4 linked regions of the Lonchura striata genome follow. The protein of the gene in region 4 binds, or shares a complex with, the protein of the main gene of each other region. Links are inferred from orthologs where the notes say so. Each region holds a gene or a part of one and is shown on either strand. Other genes may lie near its edges.

The links.
Region 1: the proteins of SNAP25 (region 4) and SYT1 are in contact, whole or in part, in a crystal structure (PDB 5KJ8), measured with the Rattus norvegicus proteins. The link is inferred for Lonchura striata from reciprocal best matches to the Homo sapiens genes SNAP25 and SYT1. Residues at the interface, in NP_112253.1 of Rattus norvegicus: Lys40, Asp41, Ile44, Leu47, Val48, Asp51, Glu52, Glu55, Gln56, Arg59; in NP_001028852.2 of Rattus norvegicus: Cys277, Arg281, Lys288, Val292, Leu294, Glu295, Asn336, Tyr338, Asn340, Arg398, Arg399, Pro400, Ala402, Trp404.
Region 2: the proteins of SNAP25 (region 4) and RPH3A are in contact, whole or in part, in a crystal structure (PDB 5LOW), measured with the Rattus norvegicus proteins. The link is inferred for Lonchura striata from reciprocal best matches to the Homo sapiens genes SNAP25 and RPH3A. Residues at the interface, in NP_112253.1 of Rattus norvegicus: Glu38, Asp41, Ile44, Arg45, Leu47, Val48, Met49, Asp51, Glu52, Glu55; in NP_598202.2 of Rattus norvegicus: His617, Ser618, Ala621, Ile648, Ser649, Ala650, Lys651, Gly652, Leu655, Tyr659, Leu662, Lys663, Lys665.
Region 3: the proteins of SNAP25 (region 4) and VAMP3 are in contact, whole or in part, in a crystal structure (PDB 5KJ8), measured with the Rattus norvegicus proteins. The link is inferred for Lonchura striata from reciprocal best matches to the Homo sapiens genes SNAP25 and VAMP3. Residues at the interface, in NP_112253.1 of Rattus norvegicus: Asp147, Leu150, Glu151, Val153, Ser154, Ile157, Leu160, Arg161, Ala164, Leu165, Met167, Gly168, Ile171, Asp172, Gln174, Asn175, Ile178, Asp179, Ile181, Met182, Ala185, Asp186, Asn188, Lys189, Ile192, Ala195, Asn196, Ala199, Thr200, Met202; in NP_476438.1 of Rattus norvegicus: Ser15, Arg18, Leu19, Gln21, Thr22, Gln25, Val26, Glu28, Val29, Ile32, Met33, Asn36, Lys39, Val40, Glu42, Arg43, Lys46, Leu47, Glu49, Leu50, Arg53, Ala56, Leu57, Gly60, Ala61, Gln63, Phe64, Ser67, Leu71, Lys74.

The regions. Positions count from the first base shown.
Region 1 is NC_134607.1:48,122,953-48,130,822, reverse strand, and holds the start of SYT1 (synaptotagmin-1), read right to left. Parts: upstream 3,005-7,870; 5' UTR 2,876-3,004; intron 1-2,875. UniProt on the Homo sapiens protein: Calcium sensor that participates in triggering neurotransmitter release at the synapse. May have a regulatory role in the membrane interactions during trafficking of synaptic vesicles at the active zone of the synapse.
Region 2 is NC_134620.1:11,540,203-11,547,508, forward strand, and holds the start of RPH3A (rabphilin-3A), read right to left. Parts: upstream 3,004-7,306; 5' UTR 2,732-3,003; intron 1-2,731. UniProt on the Homo sapiens protein: Plays an essential role in docking and fusion steps of regulated exocytosis.
Region 3 is NC_134626.1:4,507,288-4,514,667, forward strand, and holds the start of VAMP3 (vesicle-associated membrane protein 3), read left to right. Parts: upstream 1-4,371; 5' UTR 4,372-4,475; coding exon 4,476-4,477; intron 4,478-5,876; coding exon 5,877-5,958; intron 5,959-6,499; coding exon 6,500-6,658; intron 6,659-7,273; coding exon 7,274-7,325; intron 7,326-7,380. UniProt on the Homo sapiens protein: SNARE involved in vesicular transport from the late endosomes to the trans-Golgi network.
Region 4 is NC_134605.1:23,467,422-23,474,269, forward strand, and holds the start of SNAP25 (synaptosomal-associated protein 25), read right to left. Parts: upstream 3,015-6,848; 5' UTR 2,873-3,014; intron 1-2,872.

The sequences.
Region 1 (7,870 bases), on a different chromosome or scaffold from region 4:
TAGATATGCAGAAATATTTTCTTGTCCTTTTCATTCCTATCACAAACTTTAATGTCTCTTCCACAGCATGTAATGAGGTTGCATGCACCCTTTATTCAGAAAGCAGCTCCTAGTAGAGTTTATCTGTGTGTTCAAACATGCATGCAAGTATAAAACTACATAAAAATATTTTTTTAAATTGTAACCAGACTACTGAATGGACAGGAAAAGACAACAAGATGCTAAATAAGAGCTTCATTTTCATATGAGGAAACATCAATTAACTGAGTTCTGTACAGATGAGTGGCTTAAAAACTTCTGCCAAGACACTAAGCTGCTCCTTCTTTTTACTTATTACAGCCAACCCTGCCGAAAGACCATAAAAATTGATTTTATGTTTCCGGTGTCTCTATGCTAGCTGGAAGAATATAGATTTTTTTTTTTTCCCTAGGTTTCTGACAAACAGAACCTTCCCTTAACTCACACCTTCACTACACTAACCAACACTGAGCATCTTCTTGGTCATCTCTTACATCTGATCTGTTATGATTAAGGTAGGAGATCATTTCAGATTGCTAAACACTGTTCTATATGGTTTTAAAGGGGTTCTTGCCCATCAGTGTTACACTGAATGCTGTATGCCACTTGTACTGCTGTGGCATACATGGCAACTGATTATTTTTCACATTTGTTTTAAGGAAGTATTAGAACTGCTGTTAGTCTGTGAGCTACCTCTTTAAATTCCAGTACCAACCCTTAAAATGGATTTAGCATCTTTCACATCAAACATTAATAAGGCTCACTTAGACGCTCTTAATGTGAAGGAAAATTTGGCTTGTATGAAATGGCTACACGGGAACACTTCATGCTTTTGCAAGTGCAGGAGTATGATTATTTCCTACAGTATGTCATTATCTTATGCCCTGTGGTTCTTTTTGAAATTATCTCTTCTCACTCAAGCTGCCTACACTATGTTTTAAAGCTATATAGTTTCAATTTATGAATTGTATGCATGCAAATTTTGAGCAAATATACCACAAGCCAAGTAATTCACCACATTAAAGTATATTTCCCTCAACACTACTAATAGAACTAAAAACCCAAAAAGCTTGGAACCAAAAGAGATACATATTTGTCTCAAGACATAAAATCAGGTCATTTGTTTCCAAGACAGACAAGAAAACAGTATTCTAGACACATGTGCAATCTCCTTACGCTTTTTCCAAGCAGGTTTTTTTAAGCATGGCAGGGGATGTCATTTCATATCCTCACAAAGCAAATTAATTCACTGCCTACTTGTCTTTGTACCCAAAAGCTTCCCCCTCCCTTTTTCAGGGACACTCCTAAACCAACTGCCCATCTGTAACTCTAGATGTCAACTCAACAGGGAAAGGAAAGTCCCCTTGAGTCTGCCAGTACCTTCTTCCTTTTCTTAGGATGAAGTAACTCTCCCGGACAATAAAGCAATTTAAACAGCGCGTAACAGATTAGCATGCAACATGGATGGCACACTGCACAGCAGCTCTGAGGATCAATATCACCACTGCAGATTAGGAGTCTACTTGTCATCTACAACATGTATGCGTATCTGGAACTACTCCACTGACCTTTGTACAGAAAATATGGTTTCAGAGACAGTGAAATATTATTGCACTACAACATTTTGCATTGAGTTTACAAGGTAATAAAGACAGAACTACTTATTCACACGCAAATGGCTATTAAATAAGGAAAATAAAACTTGACATCCCCCAGACAATCAAAAGAAATTATTTATTTGGATGCCAACATCTGTCTTGAGATTGTGGCCAAGTGCTTTTCTGTGCTCATTTAGGACTCTACTTGGAAAGCTTTTCAGTTACATCTACCTAGAGATTTCTCTCTACCACTTCCCATCTGACAGAAATCACTCAACTGGGTCTGATGAATAATAGCAAAAGGCAGCTTGTATAAGAGATGATTGAATTACAGATTGTTGAAAGTGCCATAAAAGCTCATTCCAACGACTACATTTAATTTATTTACTATACTGACTACCAGAAGCTAGTAGTCGTTTGATATCTTTATTTCAGAAGGCTAGAAACAAAAGAAACATGAACATTCTTTGTCACTTTCTTACTACTGTACCTAGTGGAGTTTGAATAGGCAAAATTAACTTTTAAACAGAGCGCTGATCCCCAGCTCATACCGTGTGCACCTAGGAACCAGAACTGAACGTACCCAAACCAGAGCAGGGCAAGTGGTACTCGGCATGAAGGAAAATGAAATTGCACGGAAAGAAAACACATTAGCCTGACAGCCTTTCTAAGTAATGACGGAAAGGTTTTCGTGAATTGATACATAAACGATTAGCTGTTGTCCTGCGGTCCGGAGGGGAGACCAGCACCGGGGGCGGGGCGCACCGCCGCGCCCCACCGCCCTCCGCCGGGGCGGCCGTCGGGACAGAGCACCCTGCCGAGGGCGGGGGCACGGCGGGGGCAGCGGCCAGGCGACACCCGGAGAAACAAGTTGGCCCGGCGGCCGCCTCGGCGCCGGCTCCGGGCAGCGGTGCGGAGGGATGGAGGGATGCGGAGCGGACGGCTCCCCTCTCCTGCAGCCGGGGCGGGGGGCGACGGCGGAGCTCCGCGGGGGCGGAGAGCAAGGAGGGCGGCGGGGGGGGGGCGCGGGCGTCCCCTTTGTCTGTGTCGCCCCTCCCGTAAACGCCCCCACCCCCGCCGGGAGCGCCCCGGGGGCGGGCCCCCGCCCCCCGGCAGTGCGGGCAGAGCCGGCGGGCGGGCGGCGGTACAGCCGCCCCCGGAGCATGTGCGCTCCCCCCGCCCGCGCAGCGGGCAGCCCCCCCCGCCCGCGGCGACGCCGCCCGGGCGCGGCTGCGGGCAGCTCCGGGGCGCTGCCTTACCTGGCAACCGGGGCGGGCGCAGCCGGCTCCGTCCTTCAGCCTCTCCCCGCGGCGGCAGCTCCCGGGGCGAGGCTGCGGTGCGCGGCGGGGCGCGGGCGGACCGCCCCCGGCACGGCAGGCAGGCTGCCCCAGCCCCCTGCGCTCGGCGGGCAGGCGGCGCGCCGGGCGTTAAGTTTCAGCGGCGGTGGCGGCCGCCGGCGGGCAGGGCAAGGCGAGGCAGGCGGGGCGGCGGAGGCGGCACGGGGGCTGCGCGGCGCCGGGAGCGCCGCCACACTGCAGCGTCTCCAGGAATCCCTCCCGCGAGAGGCAGCCCATCACCCCCGGCCCGCCGCCCTCATTGGCTGCGGGGCGGGGAGACGCGCTCCGCGGCCAATCGCCCGGCGCCCACCGAGGGTGGAGCCGCCGCGCCGGCCTCGCCCATCCCGCGGCCGCGGGTCCCCGTCCGCCCCGTCGGGCGGGGCCGGGCGGCCGCGGGCGGAGGAGAAGGATGAGGATAGGGAGGATGAGGAGGGTATCCCCGCGCGCGGCGGGCGAGGCTGGCATCCCCGGGCGGCCGCGGGGCTGCCGCTGGCCGGCACGACGCGCTGTACCGCAAGCCCCGCGGCCGTCGGGCGAGCCGGGTGCCCCGGGCGAGGCGCGGCAGTGCCCCTCGCCCGTAGGTCGCGGGGCGGCGGCGACCCCCGGCAGGCGTAGTTGGTACTGTTAGCGAGCCTGCGGCGCGCAGCCCCCTCTCTGCCGCCGCCCCGGGCAGTCGCGACCCAGCGGGGTGAGTCGTAATTGGCTTCTGTGGCTTAGGCGAGAGCAGACTGTATCGCGTGTTCAGGTAAGGACGTGCAAGGGTTAACCTAATTCCCTTGATCCATCCACTCTGAACTGGAGCTTTGATTAACACTGGTCTGCAAAATGTAACTGTAACAAATTCAATTAAGGGAAGCACATTTCTTCAACTTTTAATTAGATCTATCCTATTTGTCTGATGTTTAATATAACATAAAAAGTTGCTCAGGTTCCAGAGGGAAATGGAAATAGATTTAGATGTAAGCTTAGCTTTTAAAAACACAACAGACTAAAGTTCTTTGTTCCTCAGCATATATTACTGCTGCATTTATACCCTCAAAGAGGATAACAAGCAATATTCCTCAAAGAGGAGGAAAACAATTTTACCTGCAAAATTGTAAACACAACAGGGTGGTATTTCTGTATGTGTTTCCCCTAACCTTTAATTGGTTACAGGGTACTGAACATACAGGTTGTAGCTCAGGTTTGATGTGCTACTGTATATGATCCTGCTGGATTACAGTTGTTCTAAGAAAACTTAAGAAAGTAGTAATATATTTCACAACCATTTAGTCAGTTTCTGTTATTACACTGAGAGTGAAAAGTACCTAAAGTACATCTTAATATAGATAGCAGATGTTGGCAAAGAGACCAGCCCGTATGCCATCGTCAGCAGGTAACTGAGAAAGTCACACGGCCCCCAGGCACATCTCATAGGTGACTTATTGTGCTTTCAATAGAACTGTATTCTGCCATTCCCCATCCATACTTTCATGTTTGGATTTGACTCTAAAATTCACAGCCCTTTTCCAGTTCAGTTTTTCTGACCGCATTTTTTCTTAGGTCTGTTATGTCAGAATATCAGTTTTTCTTGTATGGGCACATTAGACCATGAGAGGAGAGAAGGAAAGCAAATGCAAAAGAAATTACATTGTAAAGCTTTTACTGAGCTATGGAAAGGAGGAACAACCATAATTTAAACTGCATATGCAGAAGTGTCACTTGTGTTCAGATTACCCTGTACGATTTAAAAGGATTGCTGTTTTCTCTGTACCAATACAAGAGATACCAAGGATTATTTTCTCCAGGAACATTTATCTGGTCAGTTAAAAAACCCACACATTTCAGTGCTAGTAATTATGAGGACTTGATGCTGAGTTCCTAACAGCCACACAGCCAGAAGTCTGTGGGAGTCTGACATTCACAAGGCATGACACATCATATGCTGTCTTAGTATTTGAGCAAAGACAAGAAACATCACTGAAGCCCAATGGCCCTTCCTTAATGTACAGATAGCAAGGAACAGAAATGCTATCTAGTAGTAGTCCTGAAGAGTATACCATCACTTTTGCACTCTCTGACTGGGGTAGCCCATACATAATTGTTCTGCTATGTTTAAAAAACCTCAAAAAACAAAAACAAAAATCCAAACAAAAACAAAAACCAACCAAACAAAAAACTTAAACCAGCTGTCGAAGTGGCTGGGAGAGTTTTTGCCTATTATTTTCTGAGCTTGGTTGTTTGCAATGAAAGAATTGCTGAAAAGTTGCTTCCTTCAGTTTCTTTCAAGTTCAAAGGTTAATTCATACAGAAAGTGGTTTTCAGTCCTGCAATTTTTATTTCACTACTGCATTTTCAAGGAAATGGGTAGTTAGTATCCAGTCATTATGTTAATTATACCAAAGGAAGCTGTGAGGCTTAAGGAATGACATACATATCCTGAATGGACAAAGATGCTCTAGAAGAGCTCAGGAGCCATTTGATGAATGCTTGGAGTGCTAGCCAAATGCTAGCCTCTAAAATCATGAAACATACATGACTGTATTTGTTATTATTAACTCTTCCATGGTTGTGTTTAGGGAAGAAGAAAGGATCCTATTATGAGAAAAAAGAAGAAACATGCAAATCCAGAAGAAATTCTATTGTAAACCCTATTTTGTTGCTTTCTTTGGCATTTTAATTTTTTTTATGTGTTTTAGTGCATCAGAAGATAATTTTAATTACTGTCAGCCATTCAGAAGTTCCATCAGGTATCTTGCTACATAAAAATGGAGAGCTAGGCTCCATTATATTCTTCATATGTTCTGTTTTTGTTTTAGACTTAGACTGAGACAAAGGTACAGGAGAATCAGGCAAAATTTTGAATAAAAAGCAAGAGCAGAAATGATTCCTTGTTTGTTATTTTTATTTTTCACTTTCTGTATATTGTGACTTCAAGATTAGAAAGCAATATGAGCCATAAAAATTAGATTTGGAAAATGAAAGACTCCTGCTTGATCCATAAAGAGGGAGGAAGCCTGGGCCAAAGCAAATGAAACCAGTATTCTTGGGCCTATCCTGGCAAGTTCTATGGCATACGAAGAGCAGATACTAGAATGGCAGTCACTGAACTGAGGCTAATTCAGGAGCAACAGGAGTTGTTACACATCAAAAAAGCAATCAGGTCTTTGACTTTTTTCCTTTTGTAGGTCACACTTTGTGTGACCAAGTATCACAACTGCCACAAATAGATGTACAAGATGGGAAGTCAGGTAAATAATGAGAGCAAATCACTGGCAGATAAATAAGTAAATAAAACTGGTAGCATGTTAATTTACTTACCAGGTAGATCTGTAAACTAACTGAACTGGCTTTCTGTGTCACAAGGTTACAGATCCTTGTCTTTAACAGAAAAATTATTTTATTTTGTTCTTCATTATAATGTCATTTACTTCTGTTTTGTGCTTTGATTTGGTCTTTTCCATCATCAAGTTAGTTTTTAGAGAAGTACTTTTATGGGAAGATAAAGGAATTGGGTTTTGCTTAGGGAAATGGAACAGCTTTTAAAAATAGGCTCTTATTGCAGTAGTTTAAGAATGTGTTTCTGAAATTTCTTTTAACATATTAATGGCTATTTATTGTTTTGATGTTTTTTCCAGTTTACTGGGTATACAAGGGCTGGTCTGTATAGCTGAGAATTAAACACTTGGAATCCCATTTTGGTGTTCTGTTGTCACACTCTTGGTTTCAGTAAAGTTTACATAATACCTACTGAGTGGTGATGATGCACTTAGAATGAAAGACATGAAAGCAGAGAAAGAAAGCTATGTCCCTAAAGTGACAATTAACCTTCAGTAAAATTAATAAATACTGGAGTAACTATTCAACTATACACAACTAATGGAAGTGTTACATTAAGCAAATCATCTTTGAAGATTATTTTTCTAACAATGTATATGATTACCATTTAGGTAGAGAGAGTGGAGAATAAATGTTGTGGGTTTGTGGTTTTAATTATAGCTAAAAATCAAAGGGTAAAATCAAAGAACTTGTTAGTCCATTCACTGATATTTGTCTCAGTTTGTCATCTGATTTCATTGTTTTCTTCTGTTTGATCTGTACACATCTGCTGCTGCTTCTAAGTTGATTAGGCAGAGATGATCTCCTTTAGTCTGCATTTGTATAGCAGCTGACACTGAGAGCTCCTGCTTTGTGCCCAGGGCTCCTGGACACTATGGCAGCAGAAATGAAAATGAAAACAGAAGTACTCTGAGGGGGTGTTCAAGTGTAGCCAAACCAACTTGCATATGCTTTGCACAGATGTCAGCTATGTAATGCATGAACTGATCTGAGTCAGTGTCAGTCTGTTCCCCTGTAGATGGTGCCCCTAGTTCAGGGATTCTCTTTTGGGTTGTCAGATATGCATTCCTAATCCCCCTCCCCTCTTTGAAAGTCAGTTTTCACCAAAGAGGTGCTCAGGATGGCACTCCAGAAAAAAATACTTTTCAGTTAAGCTAAGATGAGCTGAAGTCCCAGTTTCCTTTTCAGGCACAATCTACTATGTAAAATGACAAACTACTGAACTCTTAGCTTCCAGAACACCCAGATATTATCAATCTTCTTACCTTATGGCTTACTCAATGTAAAATTTCTAATCCACAGTTACTGTATGCATCATGGATGACTGTGTAATAAAAGAATGCAAAATGTCATTTCTAATTTAATTTTTAGGAGTGACCTTGCAAAACAGGTGGAAGATCTGTGTAATGGCAGTCAGTGTTACCTCTGAGGAGAGGGCTGAGACTTAAACAATGTTTTTTCAAATCAGTATGAATTGACTATCACAATGCACATAAGAGAGCACATTCCATGTCTCCAATACAAATTAAGCATAATTCTGTATGGAGAGACTCAAACAAATTGACTTTTAAATGCAAAATATGCTTATGTTTACACCAC
Region 2 (7,306 bases), on a different chromosome or scaffold from region 4:
CTCCCAGTTTCCCCAGTTCTCTCCTCCCCATCACCCCCTCCATACCTGGCTTCACGGAACCAGACGTGCCCCCATCAGTGGCACCCCAGATCCCGAGAGCTGCATCCAGACCTGCCAGGGCTGGAGAAGGGAACGTGAACCTTCCTCAGGCAGTGCAGCCTCACCCGCAGCCACTCCCGGGCCTGGGGAAGGCGGCGGAATTCATCAGCCCGGCCTCGGGAAGCAGAGCCCCCTTCCTCCCTTCCTCCTTCTCTTCCTACCTTCCTTCCTTCCTTCCTTCCTCCTTCCTTCCTTCCTTCCTCCCTTCCTTCCTCCCTTCCTCCTTCTCTTCCTCCCTTCCTTCCTTCCTTCCTTCCTCCTTCCTTCCTTCCTTCCTCCCTTCCTTCCTTCCTTCCTTCCTTCCTTCCTTCCTTCCTTCCTTCCTTCCTTCCTTCCTTCCTTCCTCTCTTCCTTCCTCCCTTCCTCCCTTCCTTCCTTCTTTCCTTCCTTCCTTCCTCCTTCCCTTCCTCCCTTCCTCCTCCCTTCCTCCTCCCTTCCTTCCTCCCTTCCTTCCTTCCTTCCTTCCTTCCTTCCTTCCTTCCTTCCTTCCTTCCTTCCTTCCTTCCTTCCTTCCTTCCTTCCTTCCTTCCTTCCTTCCTTCCTTCCTCCCTCCCTCCCTCCCTTCCTTCCTCCCTCCCTCCCTTCCTCCCTTCCTTCCTTCCTTCCTTCCTTCCTTCCTTCCTTCCTTCCTTCCTTCCTTCCTTCCTTCCTTCCTTCCTTCCTTCCTTCCTTCCTTCCTTCCTCCCTTCCTTCCTTCCTTCCTTCCTTCCTTCCTTCCCTCCTCTCTTCCTCCCTCCCCGGCCCTTGCGGGCTCGGCTGGGACCACCTGGAGCGGTTCATTAGCACCGGCGCTAATTGGCAGCGACTGCAGTGGCAGCGTCACCGCGCTGCGGGCGGCGGGAGGGCACCGAGCCGGGGCCACCAGCGAGCCGGCCCGGGGGTCCCCGCTGCTGCCACCGCCCCGGGACCCGCTCCTTGCCATCCCCCGCGACAGGTCCCCCCAAACTTGCGCACGAAGCCATGCCGAGACCCCGCATTTCCTCGCCCTTTCCAAAGCCGGGAATGTTTCACCCCACGCGGAGCCCCGCAACGGGCTCCGGGCTGTCAAAGGGGCATCCCCACCCAAAAATGAAATTCCTTTGGCACAGCCAGCAGGGCCGGGGCAGCGCAGAGGGAAGCGTGTGGAGGAAGCGGCAGCAAGCGGAGCTGGAGCAGGGGATGGGGTTTGCGGCCAGGCGGCGGCTCCGAGCGCGGTGCTGGGGCTGGGGTTCGCTGGGTTCCCACCCTGCAGGTGCGGGCGAGCAGCTCCCACCGCATCGCCCGGCGCTGCCCGAGGCTGCTGCGGGCGAGGAGCGCCCAGCCGGCGCTCCCCTCCTGCGGGATGCCCGGCCCGGCGCCGGGGGCTGCGGCAGCAATTCCCGGAGCCGCGAGTGGGGCTCAGCCCCACGGCCCCAGGCCGGTCCCGCCCCGCGGAATCCCTGAGGCAGATCTGAGTCAGCCCTCCAGCAGCAGCTCGCAGCTCGCTCCATCCCTCCCGGATGAATGATGCATCATCAAATAGAGCCCAGTGTCACAACATTAACAATATTTCTTTTCAGGCTAAGCTGCAGCCTGGGCTTTTGATACCAGTAATTAAAGCAAATGGCTCATCTGTTCTCATCTCTGCATCCCTGGAGCCAACTGGCCGTGTTTATCTGGAAGCTTTATCTGGTTTTGGGGTTTTATTTTGTTTGGGTTTTTTTTTTTTCCCTTGCAACCTCACGGCGAGGGGGATCAGGCTGATCCACAAACACTCCCAGGATCCCGGGAGGAGCGTGGCACGGCCCGAGCCCAGAGCAGGGGCACGGCCGGGGCAGCTGCCTTTGCTCAGAGCTCTTCGAGCAGGGAAACGAAGGAGCGTTCATCATCACACAAAGACAAATTGCTGCTCCAGCTTGCAACCAGAATTACTAGAAAGACACCAGCAAGAGATATAAAATCAGGTGCCTTTTTTTGAAGAACCCATCCCTGGGAGCGACAGCTTCCAGCAGCCTCAGCCTGATTCCCGAGGCGGTTTTGCCTCCCGGAGGTTCCGGGTTACTCCACAAAGGTTTTTGGTTTTTTGCTGCCGTTCGCATCGCTTTGGTCCATCCTGGGGAACGAGCAGCACCTGCCAGAGCCCTCGGGCCACCCTGAGCCGGGCAGCGATGCCCTTGCAGAGCCCTACCAGGGAGCAGAGCACCCCAAAATGTGCCAGCAGCAGCGCCGGGGCGCTCCCCACATCCCCTGGCTGCCAGGATTCTGGGAAGGGGCTCGGCCTTGGTGCCACCGCAGCACACCCCAGCGACGGGGAAAAGAGACAATTTTGGGGGCTTCAAGCCCCGCAAATGCCCAACACGCCTGGAAGTTGTCCGCGCACGGCAGCACCCAGAGCCTCGCCCCACCCGCACCCACGGGCGCTGCCGGGGACCCGCTCCCCCGGCCACCCACGGGCGCCACCGCGGGCTGGGGGTGTCACCCCCGGGATGCCGCGACTTTCCCCGGGCCCAGAGCGGGGCGCGGGGCCGAGGAGCACCCCCGGACGAGCATCCCGACCCCCAGAGCCGCATCCCGATCTTTGTCCCTGCGGAGCCCGCGACGCCTCCTGAGCCACCCCCGCCACGCCGCTGCTGCCCCGCGGCCACGGCCCGGGGGACCCCCGATCCCCCCTTACCTGGGCCGGGGTGCCGGGTTCGGGGTGCCGGGTTCGGGGTGCCGGGTTCGGGGTGCCGGGTTCGGGGTGCCGGGTTTGGGGGTGCCGGGTTTTGGGGTGCCGGGTTCGGGGTGCCGGGTTCGGGGTGCCGGGTTCGGGATGCCGGGTTCGGGGTGCCGGGTTCGGGGTGCCGGGTTCGGGGTGCCGGGTTCGGGGTGCCGGGTCCCGCGGCCGCTCCCCGCGCACGGCCGCGCTGGCGCTGCGCGGCTCCGGTGGCAGCACTGCGGACGGCGCGGGGAGGGGACACGGGAGGGGACACGGGAGGGGACACGGGAGGGGACACGGGAGGGGACACGGCCGGGGCCGCCCCGCTCCGCGCCCCGAGGAGCCGCCCCCTCCCAGGCGCAGCCGCTCGGACCCTCTGGCTCTGCCCCTGGTTGGGGAGGGGACAGCGGGACCCCCTGAGCTCGTCCTCTCCTCCAGCCCATCCCCTCTCCGTGTCTTTTCCATTCGTTCTCCTCCCCAACCCTCTCCTACCCTCATCTTCCATCCCTATTTTATTTTATTTTATTATTTTATTTTATTTTATTTTATTTTATTTTATTTTATTTTATTTTATTTTATTTTATTTTATTTTATTTTATTTTTAAATTTTTATTTTATTTTATTTTATTTTTACTTTATTTTATTTTATTTTAATTTAATTTTTATTTTTAAATTTTTATTTTATTTTATTTTATTTTATTTTTAAATTTTTATTTTATTTTATTTTATTTTTTAATTTTAATTATCCCATCCCATCCCTCTCTTCCCTGCTCAGGTGAGACCCCACCTGCAGAGCTGCTCCCAGCACAGGGAGCCCCTGGAGCTGCTGGAGGGAGCCCAGAGGGACACAAAGAGGCTCCCAAGGATGGAGCCAGGCTGGGAGAGCTGGGAATGTTCTCCTGGAGAAGAGAAGGCTCCAGGGAGAGCGCAGAGCCTAAAGGAGCTCCAGGAGAGCTGGAGAGGGACTGGGGACAAGGGATGGAGGGACAGGACCCAGGGAATGGCTCCCACTGCCAGAGAGCAGGGCTGGGTGGGATTTTGGGATTTTGGGAAGGAATTCTTCCCTGGGAGGCCCACGGTGCCCAGCGCAGCTGTGGCTGCCCCTGGATCCCTGGAAGTGTCCAAGGCCCGGTTGGACAGGGCTTGGAGCAGCCTGGGACGGTGAAAGGTGTCCCTGCCATGGCAGGGTTGGAATGGGATGAACTTTAGGATCTCACACCCTGCCCACCTGCAGCATCCCCCAAAAGCTGTGGGGGCTGCTGCCCCTCCCCGATCCCTGCAGATCCCACAGCCTGGCAGCCCTTCCCAGCCCCGGGGACCTCCTGGACCACGCCGAGACCTCCTTCTGGCCAAGTCCTTCTTCCTCCAGCTCCATTCCACCACTTCCCATAAAAGGTTTTTCCCCAGTAACCCTTTTTTTTTTTTTTTCTGCAAGTAACCCCCCCATGAAAACCCTGCTTTTGGGGGCATGGCAAGAGAAATCCCCAAAGAGAGAAACCCTTGAAGGACGGAGCTTTTCCCTGCCTCCAGCCAGGGAAGCACGGCAGCACTGCAGGCTGAGTGTTGATCGGCATCAGCTGCATCCTCGATGGACATTTGCTTCTCTTCCAGCCCCAACTGTTTTTATTTAGCAAAAAAATTGCCTCGCTTATGCAAAATACTCGGAGAGAGCAGCACAGGGACTCTCAAAGGGATCTGTCCTGACACCTTCCTTGGAGATTCACAAAAAGCAGCATCAATCGGAAAATCAGATCTAAAAGTGGCTTTCCATAAAGGAAACAAAGCAACACCTGCGCTTGTCTGCTCTAAATCCCTGCCACTTCCACTCTCCTTTTATTTTTTTAGCCCCTCTTTGAAAATAAAAGAGCCAGTTGGAATTTTTTTTTTTCGGAATTGGAACTACAGTTTGGCAGTCTGGCAGATCCTCCAGCAGATCAAAGCAGGGTGGGCTATATATTTATTTATATAGTCATTTTTATATTCATTGATACAGTCATTTATTTATTCATGTATACATTTATTTCTATACTTATATGTATATTTATATATACACGTATATGTTTTTTTTATATATGTATATATATTTATTTATATATTTGTTTTATATTTATAGATTTATTTTGTATTTGTAGATCTGTTTTATATTCATTTTTATATTTAGTTTTTACTTATTTATATATTAATTTTAATTCATAGATTAAGTAATGATTTATTAATTATTAATAAATAATTAAAATTATTAATTTAATTTATATAATATTTGTAATATTTATACCATTATTAATATAAAGATGATGAAAGGTGAAAATAGTTCCAGTGGCAATGGATAAACTCTCGGAGCTCAGGCCCACAAAAACTCTGGATAACTCTGCTGCTGCTGATTCCAAAGCAGGGAAAACAGATCAGGAGCAGGTGAGGCCCTCCCTGAGCAGCTCCAGTGAGTCAAATGGAAAGGACTGATGGCAGCTCAGCGCCCAGGGACTTTACAGAAGGACGAAGCAGAACTCATGACCACCAGCAAGACTTAAAGGAATGATTGTCGCTGTCGAGGCAGGGCGGGAATGAAGAGAGACTCTGACCCAGAAGGCTGTAACACTAAAATACTATTTATTCAAAATACACTGCGCTTTTATACAGAGCTTCACAAGGATCAAATCCATTGGTTCTGAAAACAACTCACCCCATTGGTGTACAGTGCTTGACGCACAGTGATAGAATTTAGCTATAAACAATGTGAAAAACAAGAGAGATAAAGAATTATTTACATTCTTCTGCAGCTCTTTCCCAGGTTTTGCCTGGTTAGAAACTCTCAGTTCCTTTCTTTGACTGAATCTGAGACCCACAGCTGATTATCACCCTCTCCTCTGCACTCTGGCCCAGAATACCCAGAAATTTTCCCCCATTTAGCCAAGAGTGTAAGGTGGGTCTTGAGGAGGCAGAAAATACAAATTCGAATCCCGTCAGGCTCAATGAAGCATTGACCTCAGGTCTCCTATTTGCTGCCTTACTGTTTTAAGAAGGAAATCATTAAAGGTAGCCCGCCGTGACACCTTTCTCTCACTTCTCCAAGGAAGATCCTTGCTCAATGTTCTTTTCTTTTTTTTCTCAACATGTAGCTGTATTTCATTTCCAGGAGAGAATTTGGATTTAGATTGAGGAGACCTTGCTCACAACTCTCAGTCCTGTTGCCTAATTTCATTCTGATTAATGATTAGACATTTTAGACGTTATTAGATACTTTAGATCTAAACACTTTAGATGTTGTTACATATTTATTTCAATTAATTGACATTTATTTTACTTAGTTTTCACTCCTGTAAATCGCTGAGCTGCTTCTCCCACAGATCCCGATGGATCTGCCTCCAGGATCTCCCTGGAATGTGACAAGGACTTTAACTCCTCCTCGGCGTGTCCTGCCCATCCCACCCACCAAGGGCTTTAGAGGGATTTCCTTCTTGGAAACACGAGAAAGATGGGAAAGGATCCATAAACCAGAACCCCAAATCCATCTCCAGCCTCCCAGAGCAGCTCCACGCTGGGAACGACTCCTGGGAAAAAACGGGGAGGAGAACAGAGCAGGAGAATGGAGGAGTGATGGGAGCAGCAGGAGCTGAATCCAGCGAGGTTGTCCCAGAATTTCGGGGATTACACAGTTTGAATCTCCTTTTTTCCAGGGGAGAAAAAGCCAAGGCAAGATTTAGGCTGGAGCGGGAGAAAACCATCCCTGGGATTCGCAGCTGGATCCCCCCCGTTTCACCAACACCTCCAACCCCTCCAGCCCACCCTGAGAAAACACCAAAGCAGGCACAGGCTGGAGGAGACAGCCTTGATTCATCCCCCAGTGAAAGTTAAAAAAAGCTGGGTTAAAAACAAAAAAACAAACCATGAGAAAAGACGAATGGCATTTTCCCCCCTCGTCCCTCTGCTCCGAGGGCTGGGGAAGGGATTTTCTCCTCTGGAGAAGCTGAGGAGAAGCAGCACCTTGGGAGGGTTCCAGGATGTTTTTCACCACCCCCCCAACCTGTCACTCCTCTGCTCCCAACCTGCCAGGGATGCCGGGGAGCTTCCAGCATCCCTCCCTGCTCCCTCTCACCCTGGGTGAAAAATCCCCTTTCCCAGGCACCTCCTGCCTCACCCCAGAGCTGAGAAATCCCACGGGGACCCCAAAGCCCTCAGCAGCACCCCCATGGCCCCTCCCCGTGGTGGCCCAGGCAGGATCTGGCGTGGCAGCAGCTCATTACATCCTTTTAATGAGATCTGTGCTGGTTTTACATCCATTTCCCATTCCTGATAACGCCCCGGCCTATAAAACTGCACTGTTCCCCTTGCCGAGGTGAGGGGAAGAATACATTTCCGAACACACTGCCTGCATTAATTTTGCAGCAAGTGCCATCAAAGATTTAATCTCCAGCTCGTCTCTTGTTAATGGGATTAGGAGAACTTATTTACTGATTTAATTAATTGGCCTGTCTTGTATTCAGCTGCAGGCAGGGGCCCGGAACCTTCCTGGTTTGGGGCTGAGGAGGGCTGGGCATTGTTTCATTTTGGAGG
Region 3 (7,380 bases), on a different chromosome or scaffold from region 4:
AATAATTTGTAAAACATGTAGCTTTTTCTCTTATGTACTTGTCAAACCTCTTGTCATTTTGCAGAGTCACGTACATATGTTGCCTGGACATTTTATGCCACCTAAAGATCAGTGGTGCTGCATTCTGGCCAGTAAATTTCTTATTTTGGCTACTTCATCAAAATCTGGGCAGTTTCTGTATATATAGAAGGTAGAAATGGAAAATGAGAAAAAAATATTTGAAAGGGAATATATTGATTAATTACTAAATATTTTATTCACAAAGGGTCAATAACTTGGCAAGATAAAATTATTATTTGTATAGTTTTGTCTGAATGAACGAGAAGAGTGTGGATGTATTGTTTGTACATATTGTATATATTAAAGAGATATGTGCATGAACTCAAGAAAAAGAAATGAACAAAGCAAAGCATTAGTGGCTATGGTCTGTAAAATGAAACAAAAACTTTATTTCACTATAAGAAACTTTATTTTAAATGTTCTTTAGAAGAACATTTTTGCTAAAGCATGACTAAATGGCAAAAAAGAGCTACTGTATTTAGACTTAGGAAAAAAAAGGCAGAGCAACATTACTTTAAAAAAAAAAAAAAAGAAAAAAAGGATATGTTTACATTTGATTTTGGCTACCAGGAGTTTGGTTCAGTTGGGTTTAATTTATGTATTCCTTCCTTCTTTTTTTTTACCCCCGTCTTTTTTTTTTCCTTTTTTTTTTTTTGCCAATGGTGCCAAGTAATGTGAATGCTAATATTGCTTAAGAAAATTAAGTTACTTTTGCAAAGCAGATAATCATAAGAGTACAAAAACCGTATCTAGCTTAACACCATACACTCACTCCAATAAAGAACACTTAGAATGAACATAAAATGAAAAAAAATAAATAAATAGTACGAAAGTAGAAAATATGTTTCACATTTTCATATCTCCTGCTGGAAGTCAGAAAATGTAATAAAAATTGCACAAAAAATTTTAAAAAATTAAGTAAAACTTAAAAAAAAAAAAAGATGCAAACTGATCCTGTAGGGGTGTCATGGTATATTGCTATTTCCACATAGTGAGGAGCCAAAGAAATTAGATTTTTTTTAAATTGAGCTACTAATTTAAAACTGTCACAAATTCTCAACAATGGGAACCAGTTCTGATCTTCATTACACAGGAATGTAAGGGAAGAAACTCCTGAAGTCCGTGTCATTACTTGTGGGTCACGTACATGTGTCTGAGATCAGAAACTGCTCCTGTCTGTTTGTCTCACTCGTGGCAGTTTAAAATTTCTGAATGAACTTGTGTAAATTTGAGATTGTTAGTTTTGGAATAGTTGTTCTTGCTTGATCCCGGCCACCAACTGCAATGTTTAAACGCAAGGCTTGTTGTGAAGCCAAAAAATATTCACACATAGGAAGCTTTGAAACTGGTGTCTTTAAAAGAAGAGTAAAAACAAAGATTGTGGCAAAAAAACTGGGGTCAGTGCTCTTGGTGCCTTTTCTATAATTGTACCTGTTTTTAATTACTTCTTTTCACTGCCAGCATTGAATTACAGTAGATGTGCTATAGCTCATTATCAGAATTCTCTTGTACATTTCTGAACTGCTGCTTTATGACCTGATTCAATTTTAAAAAAAGGGAAAAAAGCAAAACAAATGGCCTGGCGCTCACACTGTGCCTGTGGGCAGCCTCGTGGCCTCAATTTACTGTCTGCAATTGGAACATTAACCATTAAATTTTCTTCTCACACCAAAACAGAACAGGAGACGCTGGAGAATCTCCTTTGGAATGAATTGGAAATGCTCTGTATTAGTACTGGAAGAACTCTTGACATTTTGAAACTGAAATACTGCACCCATTAACCAATACGTGACAATATAGAATTGATCTGTTCCAAACAAGAGTAGTGACCTCAGTGGAAATGTTTTAACTCCTCGTCTTTACAGAAAACGATTCAGTAATATACAGAGCTATTTCAAATTACTCTTCCAGATCCATGGGCCTGGTGGTGTATCTACTAATCTAGATCCTGCTTCAGCCAAACGTTTAAGCCTGTGCTGGCTGTGAAGCATGCAGGCAGTTCTGCAGCACAGCTCCAGGACTCCTGGCGTGCTTGGAGCCAGTTCAGCTCCCAAGTGCTTTGTTGTGTCGGGCCGTAACCCTTCAGTGTGTCACTGGGGAGGGAGCAGCTCTCCCCCGCAGTGAAGTGATTCTTCGAACCCTCTTCTTGGTTGTGGAACTTAACATTTTCACCTAAGATAAGTAAGTGCAGCTTTCTAGGAAAATTCAAATTCCCAAGTGCCAGGAGCCAGATTTTCTGTCTTCTGATAATAGAATCGCTCCTTTGTGAAACACATTCGACAGCAGTAATACTGTGTGAAAGAAATACAGAATATAACATGAACCCCCTCTCTGGTTGCACGCTTATGGCAGTTCCACACAATAGCTGGTGCCCAATGGGGGGTCCCCAAGACTTGCATGTAAAACTAGTATAGATGTCTTCTCTTTTGTAAGTTTTATTTTTGTAACTGTGCATGTAAAGCATCACTGAATCAATGGATCTGTTGAAGAACTCAGCTGCTGGAACCATGCAAAATGTTTTGAATTGCCCTTAAAATATGGAAAATGTTTTCTGAATGCTTTATATTCTTTCTGCTGTAAATTAAAAAAGAAAATTTCCCCATACAAAGTGTGTGCCTTCTTCTGAACACGTCTCTTCTTCTGAACACCTCTTCCATCCTTCTTTGAGAACAAAGTAGTCCTTTAGTCACTCTTAAGGAACCACACACAAAAAAAAGTTTCTGCTCTACACGACCTGCTTGTAAGAATATTGCATCTGATTTCTTACAGGTTATGATGTAACAGTCCACAGCCTGCCCATGAGCAGGTGCAGCCCCCAGAACTTTGTTTGCAGTTCCTCTGCAGTGGGCAGTCACTTCCAAGGTTTTTTGTGAGAAACCATATAGAGCTGGTAGCAAAATAAATCCTACAGTGTACACAAAGCAGAGTGAAACAGCAGAATTCAAGAGGGCTGCTGATGCAGAAACCTGAGAGGTCACATTTAATGATACAATTAACTGAGACACAATAACTGTTGCGCTAATAAGTATGTTGCTCCGCTCACATGAACTGGTCCTCGGGAACAAAACTTGTACCAGACTAATGGCAAGCCCAGCAGGCAAAACCTGAAAGCAGGTTTAATAAATTAATTATCTGGTCTGTCAGAGACTGTGTTAGTACCATCATGAGTAAGCTTTTCCAAAACCCAGCTCCACAACTGAAGATTTCAATAAGAGTTTCTTCTTGACTGCAGAGAAAGTTTGATTACGTTTCTCTTTTAGAATAAATCAGCATTTAACTCTCCAAATCGCTCCCATTTTTCCATCTTACATAGCTGTTAGTTGCTGGGTTCTTTCCTATCGTGGCGGGTTGACCCAGTCCTGAAAGAAGGCGCCTCCTCCTTCATCCCCAGGGGCATCGCGGGAGAGAACTGAAGACCAAACATGAGGGAAAAAGAAATGCCCGGGATGAGATAAAGTTTGATAAGGAGGGGAAAAATAAAAGATAACTCAGAATACGTGGTGCAAAGGCAGCCAGCGCCTCCCTCCCACCGGTGCCCTGCGGAGTTCGGTGTTCGCTGGCGGAGCAGCCCCGGGGCTCCTGCGGGAGCGCTGCCGGCAGCACCGACCCCCGGCGTGTGACCGTGACCGGCCCTGCTCGGGGCACCGACAGCTCCGTGCGGCTGCCGGGAGCGGCGGCTCCAGCCCCGCCGGGACCGGGCGGCGAGCGCGGGGCGGCCCTGCAGCCAGGGCGGGGGACAAGGACAAAGATAAGGACATGGACAAAGACAAACACACCCCCGGCTCCCCTCGTGCGCTGCACGGAGCGCTCGGACACGAGTGACAACGGCACGGAACGCTCTTGGCTGTGTCTGTCTGTCCGTGCGTCCCTCCCCGCGTGTCCGTGCCCCTGTCAGTGTGTGCGTCTGTGTGCCCATGTCTGTCTGTCCGTGTGTCTGTGTCTGTCCGTGTGTCCGTGCCCGGCCGCTCTCCCCGTTCCGTTGTTGCCGTTGCCGTTCCCGTGCCCGCCCGGGGCGGGCGGTGCCGGCCCAGCGCCCGGCAGCGGCCGCAGCCCCGCCCCTGCAGCCCGCGGGGGCAGGGCCATGGCCCGGCCCCGGTCCGACTCCGCCCCGCGCCCCGCTCCGCTCTCGCCCATCGCCCCCGCCCCGGTCCCGCCCCGGCCCCGGTCCATCGCCGCCCCGGTCCCGGCCGTCGCACATCGCCCCCGTCCCGGTCCTGTCCCGGTCCCGGCCGTCGCACATCGCCCCCGTTCCTATCCCGCCCGGGCCCGAGCCCGTCGCGCCCGCCCCGAGCCCGGCCCGGGTCCCGCCCATCGCCCCGAGCCCGCCCCGTGACTCGTCAGCGCGGGCGCCGCGCGCAGCTCCCGCTGGACCCGCCCGGGCGCTGCCGCCGCCCCGTCCTCGTCCCACCGCCAGGATGTGAGTGCGGGGCGAGCGGGGGACGCGGGCAGCGGGGCGATCCGGGGAGCGGGGGACGCGGGCAGCGGGGCGGGCGCAGCGGCGGCGGGAGCAGGGCCCAGCCCGGTCCGGCCCGCGGGCGGGGTGCCGGGAGGGGTGCGCGGCGGGGCCGGCGGCGGAGGCGAGGCCCGGCCCGGCCGAGCCCGGGGCCGCCCGCCGGAGCCGCTGCTCGGGCCGGGAGCGGGGCACCGGCCGGGCTGCCCCGCCAGCCCCGGGCGCGGCTCGGAGCGGGGCCCGCCCTGCCCGGCACCGGGGCGTTGCTCTGTTTGCAGCCTCGCAGGAAGCGCTGTCATTTCCGAGGCTGTTCACCTGGCACTGAAGCGGCACCAAAGGGTGGTGGCAGCGCCAAAACAGTGACACTGTGCCGGCACCGAGCCTTGCCCCGGCTCCAGCGCCAAAACAGTGACACTGTGCCGGCACCGAGCCTTGCTCCGGCTCCGGTGCCAAAACAGTGACACTGTGCCGGCTCCGAGCCTTGCCCCGGCTCCGGTGCCAAAACAGTGACCCTGTGCCGGCTCCGAGCCTTGCCCCGGCTCCGGTGCCAAAACAGTGACACTGTGCCGGCTCCGAGCCTTGCCCCGGCTCCCGCGCTGTGCCTGCACTCGTTACGTGCAGTTAGAGGCCAATGTCTAAATGTGTATACACAGGAAACAGACTTGGCTGCTTGGAGTGCCAGGGTGCACTAAACAAGCTTTCACATCTGATGTGAAAGAGCTAAGAACATGGAAAAGGAAATTGAGTGCTGATAGTTCTAGAGATGTGCATTAAAACCTGGCCAGGTGGTGAAAAGGTAATGAAGAGTATGTACAGAAGCTCTTGCATCCGTTATAAAGATGCAGAGTGTTGTAGCTGGTAAAAAGAACTCTGTTACGAATTTAAAGCTGGCCAAAAGTAAATTTTTGTGTTTTCCAAATACTTTTTCCTTCTGGTGCATTCTCTTGTTCCATATCAACCATTTCAAAAGAATACAGAAGTGTCACTGGAAAATCACATAGCTATAATAAGTATTAAGTTTTTGTATTTTATTTTTTGTAAACTACTATTGCTTGAAACTTAGTACCTGTGTTCATATGGGAAAGAAAGAACACCCTGAGTCCAAATTGCTCACTGAGGCCTATGGAGCATTGCTGGAGCTGACCCCTGCCTCATTGCAATGTGTGGTGTTAGCAAGCCACTGCTGCCTCTTGGGACAGCATGCAATTTGTTCACAAGATGTTTGGGACACTGCATGAGTTGTGCTCACTGACAGCTGTTAAAACACCATTTCTGCAGTAAGAAAGTGCCCTGTATTTATTACATGGATACCAGTGTCCCATTTTCAGGACTGTCAGATGTCTAATGGTGCCTTTCTTTACCACAGGTCGGCCAATGTCCCTGGAAGCTCAAATATGGCTGCTGGCAGCAATCGCCGGCTTCAGCAAACCCAGCACCAAGTAGACGAGGTAAAAGTCTGGTCTGCTAGTAGTGTCAGCCTCTTCCTGCAGGAAACCTGTGCAGTTAGAAGGGATATTTTTTTCCAGAGCAGTTTTCCCTTCATTATATGAAGGGGAAGCAAACAGAAGTTCCCAGTGTCCAAACATCAGCTGCAGTCTTGGTGCAAGATTTGGCATAAGTAATGACAAAAACCTTTGTTTATAGCCATGAGAGCTGGCTACCAAATGTGATTCTTGTGGAGTCCAAAAGCCAGGCTGGCAAGTATTTCTTGACATGGTTTACTATCATGTTTATATTCCTCAACTCCTTCTGAAGCAAGTCAGGAATTGTTTCCCAGGTCTGAGGGCATGCCAGCACTACTGACTTTTTAAAACAGGCATTCAGGGCTTTTAGCCATAAGTGGATTTCATAGTTTTCTTGAAGTTTATGGCTGAATATACTAAAAGGCAATAGCTCCTGCTTCTGAGAAAGCACGGAGTACCTCGTGCAGCTGCTTGCTGTCTGTGATTATGTTGCACACCACTTACTGTAAGTGTTGAACTGCTGTAGGTTGTTGACATCATGAGAGTGAACGTGGACAAGGTTTTGGAGCGGGATCAGAAGCTGTCAGAGCTGGATGACCGTGCTGATGCCCTGCAAGCAGGGGCTTCCCAGTTCGAGACCAGCGCTGCCAAGCTGAAGAGGAAGTATTGGTGGAAGAACTGCAAGGTAACCTCGGCTTGTGTGCTCACTCTGCGCCTGTAACGCTGTCACATCTGTGTTTCAAAAGGCAGGAAATGTTTAGCCAATGTTTTTTAAGTCACAGCATCTAGTTTTTAAAGCATGGCATTACTTTTTAAAGTAACAAGCAGCTGTGTTACCGGCCGTGCTGCCCTAGGCAGGATCTTGTCTGATAATGGCCAGAGGGAAGCATGTCAGTAATCTGAGGCTTTGAGAAACAAGAAGAAAAAGCTAAAAATGCATAGCTTGAATTAATGTGTGGGAAGTATTAGAAAGTGGAAGAAGCTCACTCAGACTCCTGTACTTGTAGCTGTTGCCAAAGGTTGGATTCATCTTTGGTGAGTAACAGAACAGCTTGTGCATTCACTTGGGACAGGCTTTATGTGGAGAAAGTCATATTGCTCTTTTTGCCTGTGTGCATGGCCTGCCACCTCTGAGTGCTAGTAGTGGATTAAGCTTGCTGACTGAAGAACCTTTGCTTGCTACATTAGATCTGACAACCAGTGCTAAAAGTCCCTTGCAGGGGCTGTTTTCCTGTACCCTGAGGGGCTTTTGGTGCTGTTGCATGCTGTGTAGTAAGTGTTGTATGTCTTTTTTTCACAGATGTGGGCGATATTGATAGGTGTTGTTGTCATTATCATCGTCATCATTATTAGTAAGTTTGACCAAAATGGGGGTTTCTCCTAGATTTGGAATGGATGGTGTTAATT
Region 4 (6,848 bases):
AACCCTGAAAATCTCTGAAATAAGCGTGTGTGTGGGTATAAATGTGTATAGATGAAAGAGTCCTCCTTATGTTATAAAATGTTATGACAGAGATTTGGGGGGAAAAAATGCAAGAGAAAGAGTAATGGTGTGACAACAAGCCAAGGTAAAGGGAAAACAGTTTCTGCTCTTCATTCCTGAGAGAAGAAATCATTAGCAAACTGAGTCCTACACCATGCCATATATTTTCCATTTTTCCCTGAGGGTTGCTACAAATGCAGCAGCTGTAGCTGTGTGACACATAGACATACAAATCGCTGAAGTTGTTCACACTGACAGGAAAAGAGTTTTGTTTCGTTACCTTATGTAGTTAAAGCAGTGCAAGCACTAGGCAGAGACCATGCTTTATTTGCCTTAGCACTTTAATCTTGTCATTTGTTGCCATGTCTAAAGCATAGGGAGAAAAATGAAAAGCTTTCCTTGACCTGAAAAGCATCTCCTACCTCACTGCAATAAATCTGGGAAGTGGAGCTGCATCTCATTAGATGTATTTTGAGGGTTCGTGCTGGCTGGATTCTGCTGTTCTTTCTTTCACTGCCCCCATGAGTTCAATGGACACACAGCCTGGTCCCGAGAGCTCTCAGAAATGTCACTCTCATTTTCTAGTTAGATGTGGAAAAAAAGTTAAGCTGCATTTATTTGGGGTTGCTATCTAGCTGCATTTGGTTTTGTAACATGCTGAGTTTCTGCAGCACCTCTTGACTTCAGAGGCAGCCTCAAGCTTTTGCTTTTGCCAGTCAGGCCTGCCTGCATCTTTGGTTTGGTCACCTCTGTTATCTTTTTGGCACTCATCCTAGGAACCAAACTCTTCAGCAGTCACCTCCTGGCTGACCTGTTCTGCACGATGCAGAAGCAATGGAAAACCACTGCTGCTTCTTCCTAGGCTGGCTTTTTTGCAGGGATGTGCAGGTGCCTGGGGGCCTAGGAGAGAGTGTCTTCCCCAGCCATTCCCACCGGAGCACACATTTCCCAGATGGCTCCATCCCTCCCCTTGCCACCTGAAGGGGTGGCTGCCCCATACCATCCTCGTGCTGATCACTGGGGGAGCTGCTCCATGCCCAGAGCCAGGACGAGGTGGGGGTGTGGGACAGGCATGTCCTTGCAGATGCTGTGGCCTGGGCTGGAAGCAAACGGGTCTGGGTTAAGGGACTGCTCTGCCACCCCTGGGCAGCGCCGCAGACCAGCCCCCCATTTCCCCCCCTACCTCTGCTTTTCAGCTGGGAACGAAACCAGCAGCAATTATTCAAGCCAAGCACGTAATCTGGCAGATCCCGCGACTCTGGTTTGACGCAGCTACGCAGCTCAGTGTCTGGACACGCAGCCCAATCCCCCTTTCTCCCCTTGTTTATTCGCCCCGAAAAAAAAAAAAAAAAAAAAAAAAACCCCAAAAAAACCAAACAAAAAACCCAAAAAAAAAAAAAAACTGCAGCGAAGTTGCCAACTTGGGACCGCACCGAGGCGTTTGGGCGTCTGGGGTGCCAGGAAGTGGAAAGGACGGGCGGAGGGAACACCGGCGGCGCCAGGGGAGCTGTGGCCAGGAGCCGTGACGGGGCAGCCCGCGTTACATAAGGCGGCGGCTCCGCACCGCTCCGCAGCGCGGGGCCGGGCGGGGGGGGCGCGGGCTGATGTCCCCCGTGTCACGGCGCAGCGCCGCCGGAGCCCGCGGCACGCAGCGCCCGAGGCGCCCGCGGGCAGCGGCGCCGGGACACGGAGCGCGGCTGCGGGGAACCCCGGGGGGCTGCCGGTGGTCTCCGCGGGCGGGACCCGGCCCCGGGGGGACCCCGCGGGCTAGGCGTTATGTAACCCCCGCCTTCCTTGCACAAACACCTCTCCAGGGAGAGGGGCTGGAGTGCCAAACGCCGATTAATTGCAGGAACTGATGTTATTTGCCTTTTGTTGTTGTCGTTGTTTGGTTGGGTTTTGGTTTTTAAATTTTATTTCTCCCTCTTCTCACTCTGAGCTACAGAACCACAACTGCGCTTGCCCGCGGTTCTGTCCTGGAATGAGGGAGCACCGCCGCTCGCCAGTCGGGAATCTCTTCCCAGTCCCGTGTCCGGGGGGGCAGCCCCGGGGCGGGGGGCGCGGAGCCGCAGGGCGCTGCAGCACGGCCGCCTCCGCTGCCGCGGTGCCGAACGTACACAGACACACTGACACGCGCAGAGACATAGACACGGACGGCTCGCAGCCCCCGGTCCCGGCGCGGGGCCCTGCGCTGTCCGCGGTGCTGAGCACACACTCGGACAGACAGACAGACAGACGTCCCCGCTCCGTCTCGCTCGGGCCCGGCGCTGTCCGCGGTGCTGAGCACATGCACACGGACACGCAGACAGACACAGACACACGGACAGACACAGACAGACGCACGGACAGACACGGACAGACGCACGTCCCCTCCCCGTGCCCTCGGGCCCCGCGCTGTCCGCGGTGCTGATGCTCCGTCGCAGCCCGGCGCGCTGCGGGCGCTGCAGTGCTCCGGGCGGCACAGCCCGGGCCGGCCCAGCAGCGCAGAGCGCCCGCACGCCCTTCTCCCCGGTCGGAGCTGAGAATGGCGCCGGTTCCCCTTCTCCGACATTGCCTTCTCCTCCGGCCTCCTGCCGCCCGCGCGGCCGAGAGGCACAGCCCGGCTGCCTCCCCGGCTTCAGCCGGCAATGAGGCTGGCGGCGAAATCGCCCCCTTCTCCCTGCCTTTCTCTGTCCCCGCAGCAGCCCCAGAGGCTGGAGATAAAAAGCCGAGCAGGTCCCACTTTAAACATATCCCTTTTCTCTATTTCATTATCGTCAATACCGCCCCTCCCCCTGCTGAGCCGGTGCCCGCGGTGGTGTCCCACCTTTACCTGGGCTGGCGGAGCGCGGCGCGGCGGGGTCGGTGGGTCGGTGCCGCAGCTGGATGGGAGGCAAGGACAGGAGGCTGCTGACCTCCGCGGGTCTCCTTCTTCAATGGATCGGGAGCCGTGCCCTCATCAAAGATGGCCGTCCGCTCCTACGTCAGCAGCTTTTAATAGCCCTCCCCGGCGGGGGGAGCGGGAGGGGGCAGAGCGGGCCGGGCGGGTTTGAGTCATCGCCGCCGCACCGCTCCCGCAGCCGGCCCCGCCGCCTCCCGCAGCCGCCCCGCCGCCGCCTCCCCGGGGCCAGGGTCGGGGCGGCGGGCTGGGGGTGGCTGCGGGCGAACCGCCCGGGCAGGGGGGCAGGGGCCCTCCCGCAGCAGCGATTTCCTCCGCCAAAGGGGTGGTCCGAAGAGGGTATCCCTCTGAAGTCCCCGGTACTCCATATATGGCCAATCTACGTGGGCTTCTATTTTTACGTGTGAATTCTTCCTTCTCTCCCCTCTTTTTATTTCTCAGAACATCCTGCCAGGGGTCTGGGTGTGTTATTCTGTTTAGTCTCCCTCTCCTCCCCCCCCTCTCCAAAGTCGGGGCAGCCAAACACGAGGAAATCCATGGTTAAAGGACATGTGTTGTAACTGATCATTTGAGGGACAGGTTCAAAAATGAGAGAGAGAAATCAAAAACAAAGCCTGGACAAGTATATGAACACACACACAGCACAGTGAGCACATCCCACTGCTGCTGAGGAAGGAAACGGTAACTCTGTTAGAGGAAAAGTGCCTGGCTTATTTATCATTAATTAATTAAAATATTCATTCTGAGTGTACCTAATTTGGAGCAAATGGAGCTGTCTCCAGCGTGATTTCTAATGGGGAGGAAATACTTTCATTTCATACAAAACAGTGTATGTTTGTAAAATTTATCTCTTAATGGAGATCGTGATGAAGGTTGGGGATTGCAGTCAAAGTGCGATGCTCTTTTTCATAACCTCACTCATTCTTTGCCTTTCACCCCACAAGCCTTGGCTTTCATTTATGGAACCATTCAGACCAGGAGATGAGCAACGATGCCTCCCTGTTCCCTGCCTCAGCCTCTCCTGTGAGCAGTGAGTGAGCCCTGCCTGGGTTTAACTCTGACACGGTGTGTGAAGGCTTTTCTGAACAGTCTGTGTTATGGCAGAGTCAAAATATCAGTTGCACGTTAGGATAATTCCATCCTCATCCTCTCTTCTTGCCCCCCACTTTTGCCAAGAAGAAGACAGAAGAGAGGGAAGGCTTTGCAGCTGTATTTTGGAGCGCGTTCATCTCGTGTTATGGTTGTATGGGCATGGGGGAGGGACGGGGAGGGGAGGGGAGGGGAGGGAGGTGCGGGGGAGAAGGAGAGAGAATTGCGGGTGATTCCTCCTACCCTGCTCTGTAGTTCCCCACAGAAAAACGTGACTGTAGATCGTGCTTTGTGAGTCTCACCCTCTTCCTACGAAAATATGTCCTTCAGTCTCTTTTGAAAGGAAGCAGTCAAAAGTTTGCTAAATATACGAGAAGGAATTCTCAGTCGAGATGGGCTTCCTGCTGCATTAGAGTATCTAATGAGTTGTGCACATGGAAACCGCAGGGAAGGAGAGAACCTGTCATGTTCCCGGGCTGTAAACACAGCCTGAGATTAACACTGTGCAGACATCCCCCTCCAGGTGAGGGATCTGGAGCAGCAGCCTGATTGGGAAAATGCATTTAGCGTCATAAACGGCAGTTTGGGAAAAGAAACCTTTGCAGGCTGGCTCCCGCAGGGGTTAATTGTGCCCAGCACTCGGGTGAGGTGTGCACTGCGGATGGCAAGAGGAATCCCAAAGCGAGCCCTGCTCTGGAATCCAAGCTGCCCATGTGCAACTTCCTAGCACACAGGGAAAATTAAAAAGGAATTCTCAGTCAGACAGCTCGGTTGATGGGTGCTTCAGAAACAAGTATGATTTTCGAGACAGCAATACTAGCACTTATTATTAATTCATATTAACGGTAGGTAAGGGAAGGATAAGAGAGATTATAAACTGTTGTTTTGGCTAAGCCACCAGCCCTGCAAAATGCTGGCTGGGTTTGGATTCAGCCCAATAATGCCTCGGAGAAGAATTTCAGTCCATTGGATACCAGCAGGGATGAATTTAGCTCTTTGCATCAAAAGTCAGGGAGGAAAATGCAGTGAAGGCAAAATAAAATGCAGCATAACTTGGGGAAAGAGATGTAAGGAATGGTAAAAGGAAGAGACAGCAGAGAGGGAGTGGGAGGAGGATAAGAGGTAGTTTTCCAGTGAAAAAACTGGGATATCGCATTAAAAAAAAAAAAAAATTAAGATTCATTTTTCAGCTCTGCTGCAGCAGAAATCACATAGTTTAATAAAACAACAAAGGGCAGAATCATTAAATAGATCACAAACGTTGCCCAATAAGCTTAGTAGGAACAACTACCTTTCATTCTGAAAATGAGCAAGGGAAGGGATGAACCATGTGCTGTTCAGGAATGTGGCTGCCTCTATCCTGGGAGATGCAGAGGGGGGCAGGCTTTTGCACCGCAGCGCCGGAATTTCTGTCGCAATAAGTGCTACTAAACAATTTTAACTGATTCTTTAGCATCTTTTAAGGATAATTAAAAAAAAAAAAAAGAGAAAACACATGAGGATTTTATTGACTCTATCTAGTACTATTTGAACACTTGTTTCACACTGTGTACAGGGGATATGTGAGAAGAGAAACCTATAAATGAAGTAGGACAAGAGAGAAAACCGGAATTTGGTCTAAGAATGATTCAGCTCCTTCTAATTTATTCAGACAAATATTCAGCAGGCTTAACAAGCAGTACCTGTGGGCACAGCCCATGAATAATAAGGCAGGAATATGCTCTCCTGCATGACAGCAGCAGGATGTGTGCTCCCCCATCACTGGCCAGGAGCCAGAGAAGGGCAGAACAGGCACAGCCTGCAGCAGGTTAAGGGGGGAAAGAACGACACCTGCTTTGTCCATGGTTTGAGATCTGTGGGCAATGGGAACTTCCTGGCTGCTCACAGCATCCCCTCCAGTTCCAACTCGCACTCCTGTGTGCTGCAAAGCTGGGCTGTTAGGCAGCCAAGTGAGGGGAGCACCAAAATGCTCAAAGTGCCACCAGATCCTGGATGTTATTTCCTGCACTCTCTTAGAGTCAGTTATAACACAAAGACTGCCTTTAGTCTCTCCACCTTCCTCACACAGTTTCTTTTTTTTTTTTTTTCTTTTTTCAGCAGAGAGGGAAATATCTTGTTTATCCAAATGCTGCTCATCCTGGCCTCAAGTATGTGGTGGGAAAGAAATTGAACTAAGTATAAAGCAAATAAGAGAGTAAAAACGTACCTGCTTAAGCACTGAACATTTCCCAGCCTCTCATATTTCTGCCTGTTCCCAGGCTGAGGTGCTGAGGCATGCCCCAGTCTGATATGGGCTGTGAAATAACAGTCTAAGTATGGAGCCCTTTATGCAGAACTCCTAATTACTTTCTGTCATTCACTGCTCTTTATGTAACTCTGAATTTTGACCATCAACAGTACTTGCATTTATCTGCCCCAGGCTGCTTCTGATTAAATTGGAGGGAATGGCTGGGCCTAATTTTTCCCTGCATGTTCAGGATCTCTAGATACAGTTAGGCTGTGGGCTTTTTTAAGGACCTGTCTGTGATCAGGTACTCCAGTTTAGGCCAAACCAAGATTTCTCTGAGGTTTATGTTTAAAAATACAGAGATTTAAAATACAATTGCAACATAGACCTTTGGAGATGAGTCCCCACTGATTTCCTGATCACTCTTTTAGATGTGCAGAGTCAGATCCTCAAAGGTGTTTCCTGAATAGTTGCTTAAAGAGCAACCAGGACTTAAATATTTGGTGAGTCTGGGTTCCACTGCTGCCCCCAGCTCCCCCTGCCTTGGCTTGGTCCTTCCACAGCTGTGCTATAACCGTGTCATTTCCTTCAATG